Linked DNA regions of Mus musculus. The protein of the gene in region 1 purifies or fractionates together with the protein of each later gene. This does not show direct contact. Links are inferred from orthologs where the notes say so. Each region holds a gene or a part of one and is shown in the gene's direction. Other genes may lie near its edges.

What was found. The genes of interacting proteins can lie anywhere in the genome.
Region 2: the proteins of Snx33 (region 1) and Dnm2 purify together in Homo sapiens (co-immunoprecipitation; 3 studies listed by BioGRID and IntAct, with this or other methods). This does not show direct contact. The link is inferred for Mus musculus from reciprocal best matches to the Homo sapiens genes SNX33 and DNM2.

What each region holds. Positions count from the first base shown.
Region 1 is NC_000075.6:56,926,005-56,929,752, reverse strand, and holds the start of Snx33 (sorting nexin-33), read left to right. Parts: upstream 1-1,381; 5' UTR 1,382-2,969; coding exon 2,970-3,748. UniProt on the Homo sapiens protein: Plays a role in the reorganization of the cytoskeleton, endocytosis and cellular vesicle trafficking via its interactions with membranes, WASL, DNM1 and DNM2. Acts both during interphase and at the end of mitotic cell divisions.
Region 2 is NC_000075.6:21,473,279-21,476,926, forward strand, and holds part of Dnm2 (dynamin-2), read left to right. Parts: intron 1-1,253; coding exon 1,254-1,396; intron 1,397-3,194; coding exon 3,195-3,330; intron 3,331-3,648. UniProt on the Homo sapiens protein: Catalyzes the hydrolysis of GTP and utilizes this energy to mediate vesicle scission at plasma membrane during endocytosis and filament remodeling at many actin structures during organization of the actin cytoskeleton.

The sequences.
Region 1 (3,748 bases):
GTTTGTTTGGTTAACTTTTGGTAAGATCTTGCTAGATGTGGCACAGGCTGGCCTGGCACTCACTCAGTCTCCCGTGTGTGTCATCACGACCAGCTGTTATCCTTCATAGGGAGTCAAAGTTTATGAGTTTTGGAGTCAGAGGTCTAGGAGTCATGACCCTCAAAACAGCCAAATGTCCCAACCTTCAGCAGCACTACTTTATACCAGTTAATCAGCAATAAGTAAGAACAATAGTAACCTGGAGGTAGGAAGCCCTAGCAAGATTGGGTAAATAAGGCTCTAGGGCTCCAAGAGGAAGAGGAGGTGTGTGTGTGTGCGTGCGTGTGTGTGTGTGTGTGTGTGTGTGTGTGTGTGTGTGTGTGTGTGACAGAGAGAGAAAAACAAAGAGAGACAGACAGAGACAAGACAGAGAGGCAGGGGTTTTCTATGTATCCCTAGCTTTCTGGAACTCATTTTGTAGACCAGGCTGGCCTCAAACTCATGAGATCTGCCTGTCTCTGTTAGTGCTGGGACTGAAGGAATGGGTGACCACGGCTTGGAAGGTTCTTGATATGTGTTCCACTTAGGCTGGGATCAGTGCCTTCCCAAGCATTTTGCACGACACTGGCCACACTAGGCTGGAACATCTTGCTTCTCTGTGAAGATACTTATGACCTTCCAGACGATAATCTTAGTTTCGGTTAATTTGTTGTTTGGAATATAAACTTAATGATGGGACAGACAGTGTGAATTAAAAACCACAGCAGCAATCCAGCTGTTATATTCGCTCCAGAGTTCAGCACAACTCCTGTCTTTAGTACACCTAGTTTTGCCTAATGTGGAGGGTCGAATCCTGGAAGCCTAAAGGCTATTTACCAGACCACTCCTCTCTCCTTGCTATTTGCTGCTGGCCTGGAAGGAAGATCTGGCTCCCGCGAAAGGACAAAGCAACCCAGAACCCGCCTGTGCCTAAACTTGCAACTTGTCACTGAAGAAGTTACATGGTCTTTGGCACCCCACCCCCACACTCTGGGAGCTGCGGAAGGCAGGAGGGCTCCTCTCCCTATCTTGCTTACAGCATCGGTTATCACCTGCGGGATACCAGGGTCACAATTTGCTGCCTACACCATCTGAGAACAACCCGGGAGCTGTGTTAGCCCCTAGACAGATCGAAGTACGCGTGGCGGGAAAGGAGGTTGGGAAAAGGGAGTCCGCAGCTCTGCTCCCCTGCAGCCGAGGCGGTTCTCCTAGCCTTTATAGCTCCCTCCTTGCCACTGCGCTCCGCAAACTTTCGGAGTTTTCCTGCACTTGCGTCACGGAAAAGGCAGATGGATGACCAAGTCCAGGAGGCGAAGCTCGAAGGCGGCTGGCGAGCTCCCCCACGCGGCGATCCAATCCGAGCGAGAAGCGGCTCTGGGCGCCGGCAACTGGGCTGCTGAAAGCTCGCAGCTCCCCGACTCCCGGGTCCATTTCCTGGATCCCGGCCACCGGGACTGAACCGGAGAGAGGGAGGGCGCCCGCCAGAAGGAAAGTGAGCGGAAGGCCGGCGGTGGCACCCTGGCCGCGGGAGGGCGGAGCTGTGCGGTCCCTGACCGGCCAGGACGCACGGAAGTGCGGTAGAGTTTGTTGAATTCCGTAGCCTGCTTTCCCTCCCTCATACCTCCCTCCCTCTCTCTCCACCCCTCACCTCCCCTACTGCTTTAGCCTCCTTCCTCGGAACGCCATCTCCTGGACTCCTCCCCCCTTCTCTTTTCTTTCTTTCTTTTTCTTTTTTCTTTTTCTTTTTAGTTTTTTGAAGGGAGGGTGAATGTTTGTTTTGGACTTGGCTTCCTGCTGGCAGCGCTGAAGGGCTGCGAGTGAGGGGCAAAGAGGCAAGAAGCTGGGGCTCAGCTAGTCCCTCTCGGGTCGGATCCAGAGGGCATCGCGGAGAACGAACCTACGGACGGACTGACAAACACCCGACTACGCCATCTGTTCGACAGAGCTCTATCTACTGACTGCTGTTGAGTGTTCCGGGGCACATCAGGGGCGGGGGGTGGTGATGGTGGAGGTTTCTCCTAGCGTTACTTCTGGACAGGGGTTCTGAGACTCTGATCCGGGTCAGCTTCATACTCTGAAACTGCCGAGGAATTAGGCAAACAAAAGAGGCACTGAGTGAAAGAGGCCAGAAGTTCTTTGCGCTGCTTGTCGCGCCCCCCCTTGTTATCTGGGGGCGGGGGCTGGCCATTTGCAGGGCGGGAAGAGGGCACCAGAGCTAGCGAGACGGGGTCGCACCCCCTGGGTCGAGTAGTTTTCAGCCGGTTGTGCAAGCTTTGGCCCTTGTTTTCCTGGCCTGGCTCTTTTGGAGGCCGGACACATCCACCCTTGGAATTGGTTCAGGACTCTGCTGTTATTCTCTTTGCCCCTCTTGAATTTTCTGGATTCTTGAAGACGCGGTGGCCCGGGAGGAGAGAGGAAGGAGGAAGGAGCAGATCTCCAGAAGAATGTGAGAGCCTCCCAAAGCCGGAGCCAGTAAGAACGGAGAGCCAGAGGAGGCAGAACCTTGCCTGCGTTCCTGGGACCGTGGTCTGAGGGTAAATCTCTTCTGTTGTACAACACTGTTTTAGTGGAAAGTGTGTGTCTCGTTCTGGTTCTAGCAGAGCTGCTTTCTTCAAGTCATTTGACTTTTCTGCTTGGTGTGTGAGGAGGGAGAGACCCGCTCCTTTCCAGGGGCTGCCAAGGGAGAGGAGAAAGACTGTGGCCATGACCAACCCCTCCCTGCTTACAGGCAGATACCCCAAGGCAGTTTCTGGACCATGGACACTTCTTTGACCAAAAGGCAGCTAGACAGCATCTGTGCATGCTGAGGCCCTGCCCAAAGGACTTGGTAGGGCTTACTAGACTTTGAGCTGCAAGTACATTTTTTTTTTTTTTTTTGGACACCCTGTTGAACATCCTGAATCTGGGCAAGGCATTTTCCTTCCAGTCTTGACCTAACAGATAGCTGAGCCATGGCACTGAAAGGCCGAGCCCTCTATGATTTCCACAGTGAGAACAAGGAGGAAATCAGTATCCAGCAGGACGAAGAGCTGGTTATCTTCAGTGAGACCTCACTGGACGGCTGGCTGCAGGGACAGAACAGCCGTGGGGAGACAGGGCTCTTCCCTGCTTCTTACGTCGAGATTGTCCGTCCTGGCATCAGCACCAACCATGTGGACTATTCCAACAGCCCTGCAGGCTCCCTGGGCACCCAGGGGAGTTTGTATAGCAGCCCGAGTATGGCCAGTCCAGCCAGGAGTGGTGGGGGCAGCGGCTTCCTCTCAAACCCAGGAAGCTTCGAGGATGATGATGATGATGATTGGGATGACTGGGATGATGGGTGCACAGTGGTAGAAGAGCCACTAGCTGGCGGCCTAGGTACCAATGGGCACCCTCCACTCAACCTCTCCTACCCGGGTGCCTACCCCAACCAGCATATGGCTTTCCGACCCAAGGCACCCCTGGAAAGGCAGGACAGCCTGGCGTCTGCCAAGCGGGGCAGTGTGGTAGGACGGAACCTCAATCGTTTCTCGTGCTTCGTACGCTCTGGAGTGGAGGCCTTCATCCTTGGTGATGTGCCCATGATGGCCAAGATTGCTGAGACTTACTCCATTGAGATGGGCCCACGTGGCCCTCAGTGGAAGGCCAACCCCCACCCATTTGCCTGCTCCATAGAGGACCCCACCAAACAGACCAAGTTCAAAGGCATTAAAAGTTACATCTCTTACAAGCTTACACCCACCCACGCAGG
Region 2 (3,648 bases), about 35 Mb from region 1:
AAAGTCATTCTCAGCTATGTGATGTGGGATAAGTGAGAGTCTACCTGAGTCAAAAAACAACAGCAAAGACCTCTTTGCTCATAGATTGGGACCTGAAGAGAGAGCCATTGTCCTTAGGGAATGTCCACTGGAAAGCCAGCTGGTAAACGAGCCACCAGATGAATTCCTCAAGTGTTAGCTGTGGCTGGAGGTTAGTGCAGAATGAAGCTGAGAGCAGCATCCCTAGAGCAGGTGCAGCAGGCATTGGGCAGTGTGTCTTGTAGGAAGGGATAAAGGGGGCTGGAGAGATGGCTCAGTGGTTAAGACTGCTCTTCCAGAGGTCCTGAGTTCAATTCCCAGCAACCACGTGTAATGGGATCTGACACCCTCTTCTGGTGGGTCTGAAGACAGTGACAGTGTACTCATGTACAAAAAAATAAATAAATCTTTAAAAAAAAAAAAAAGGAAGGGCTAAAAGCAGAGACCACTGGACCTGGCCAAAGTGTGGAGGGGCAGGAAGGAAAACCCTCCACAGAGCCTGGGGCTATTGAGAACCAGAGGTGTATAGCTTGGCTGGCCCCCCTGAATTAAGAGGTGCTCTGTGGAGCATTGATTGTTTGTGAGCTCAGCGATGTGGTCCATAGCAGCCACCTGCTGCTCAGGCCTGAGGACTTCATTTCAGTCCCCAAACTAAAGGAACGGTAGAAGGAGACAGTAGACTCCATGTTCTCTGACCTCCACCCAGGCACCCTAACATGTACACTTACCCCCCAACACACGTACTCACAGAAGTAAATAAGAATTCTAAAAGGCCCACAGAACAACCTGGCTCCCACAGACTTGGGGCTCGTCACAGGCCGGAGCCTCTGCACTGCTCTCCTCTAGCATTGGTGTGTTCAGAATCTTTCTTTTCCCTGCTGGGAATCCACCTGCTATGCAGTGGGGCTCTTGCTCTGTCCCTCCCCTCCCTCAGTCTCCCGCAGATGTGGCCCCACGTCCTGCTCAAAGCATATACCTTTGAGTCTTAGTTAGAGGGCCATCCCAGGCCTGCACACTGGTCCCACCATCCCCATCCTTGGGTGTCAACTGACATCTGCTACAGGCTCTCTGCTCCACTTGTTCCAGCTTCTGTCCCCGTCTCAATGATTTGTCTGTAGGTTTGTGGCTCTCTTTGGATTGCACCCAAGACTGAGTATTCTGGCCTGAGGGTGGATTGTGTTCTTTCCTGGCCTCTGGGCCTGTGGTACCCTGTCTGACCCTTACCTTTTCTATAGCAACTGACCAACCACATCCGAGAGTCACTGCCGACCCTTCGCAGCAAGCTGCAGAGCCAACTGCTGTCCCTGGAGAAGGAAGTGGAAGAGTACAAGAATTTCCGGCCTGATGACCCCACGCGCAAGACCAAAGCCCTGCTGCAGTGCGTACTCACTCCCCTTCCCCTTGCCTGGCCCAGTCATCCTGCTCTCCATTCAGGCCCTTGTCCTACCCTGCCCCTGCGAGTGTGGGGTCCAGTCTCTGGACATTTAACATGACACTGTCATTTGTAGGGTTCATGTCCTGAAACTGTGTACCTGCATTACAAAAAAACAGGGAAAAGTCACATTGTTTCAACAAGTTACCATTGTGTGCTAATCCCAGCATTTTAGTAAGTTGCCATTGTGTGTTAATCACAGTGTTTTAGTAAGTTGACATTGTGTGTTAATCACAGTGTTTTAGTAAGTTGTCATTGTGTGTTGTGCCTCATTCGTTGCTGTAGTCCTGTGGCCTGTGGCACTCAAGTTGGACACAGCTGAACAAGGTATGTTATCTAAGCCTGTCATCCTGGGCCTTAGGAGGTGGTGGCAGGAAGATAAATCAAAACTTGCTGAGCTGAGAACGTGGATGAGCAAGTTAAAGTCGAGGGCCTGAGCTCCATCTCCTGACCTAGTGCAAGGAGAGAAACCCTTCCTCCAAGCCTGAGGGCGTGCACCCGTGATCCCGTGGGTCATGGGGAGATCCAGTCTGGGGAGACAGACTGAGCTCCGCCTTCAGGGAGAAATTCAGTAAAGTAGAGAGAGATTTAAAGACAGTGGACAGTCACTTCTTTCCTGCGCACGTGCACACACACACACACACACACACACACACACGAAAGAGAGAGAGAAAACAAGACACTGTTTAAATGAAAAAAAAAGAAAAAGGAGAGAGCAAGCAAATATACCATGATCAACTGGGTGTGGTGGCCTGGTGCAAACTTCAGCCACTTGGTAGGCATTTGGGAGTCCCTTCCTTCCTTGCATCATTTAGTTCCAAGAGGTCAAACACTGTGGCCCTCAGACTCAGTGAGAAGTACCTTTACACACTGAGCCATCCCAGGACCACACCTACCCCCAAAATATGTTCTTTTTCGTTTTCCTTTTTTTTTTTATGCTTACATGAACTGTTGATGCCTTGTGTGGTTGCCAAGTTCTCCGGTGCTCACCCTGTCACCTGCTCTGCACAGATACAAGCTGAGCCTCACAGTGCAGAGCCACTTAGTCAAGATTTCCCAGCCTACCATGTTGTCGCTCCTGTGGGACCGAGGTAGAGAGGTAGCGGAAAGTAAAGATGCTCCTCAGCCGGTCTGGAGCAGCTGCCTTGACAGACAGCCATGCAGTCAATCATGGGACCTGGGGAAGGACTGCATAGCTGTGCCCTCAGAATTCCATCTAGAATTTTAGTATTAACAGATCTATTGAGGTCTTGAGAACAACCAGGATAGTGCCCAGCACTTACCAAAGTAGCGTTGATACTTTACACATTGGCTGTTAAACAGTGATATTGAAAAAGAAAGAAAAATGGCCAAACATGGTGGCATACATGCCTGTAATGCTAGCATGGAAGGCCCAGACAGAAGGGTCTGTAGTTGAAAGCCAGTTGGGGTTACACAGCAATACCTGTATTCACATACAACAATCCCATGAAAATGAGCCACAGGACTGACAAGGTGGCTCAGCGGGTAAACAGGCTTGCTGCCAAGATAGCCTGAGTTTTATCCCCAAGACGTACCTGGTAGCAGGAGAGAACTGAGTCCCATAAGTCTCCTCTGACCCCACTCATAGACTGTGGCATGCCTCCTTCCAATACACAAATGTAACTTAAAGCCTTTGTAAGAGCAGAGCTTATCTCTTGATTCATGTAATTACAGGGCCGTGCAGAAAACTCTGTCTTAACCTTTTGCCTTTTCTTTCGTGAAGGATGGTTCAGCAGTTTGGAGTGGACTTTGAGAAGCGAATTGAAGGCTCGGGAGATCAAGTAGACACACTAGAGTTGTCTGGTGGAGCCCGCATCAATCGTATCTTTCATGAGCGCTTTCCCTTTGAACTGGTAAAGGTAGGTGTTCAGCCTGGAGTTAAGTCAGACACTCTCATGCTTGGTCTTTGTCTTGGCCTTAAAAATTCTTACAAACCATGATGTTACAAGCTCCTGCATCATGTCAGAGGCTGCTGTCAGCAAACTTGGTCTGAAGGACATGTCCCCATCTTCCCAGATCTCATAATTTAGAAGCTCTGAGCTGAACAGGAGGAAAGTCCATGTTTCTTCCACTGGTGGAGGGAAGAAAGATACATGGGGGCCAACGAGATAGCCCAGCAGGTACCCTCTGCTCTGCCCGACTGCCTGAGTGTGATCTGCAGGCAGAAGCACAGAACC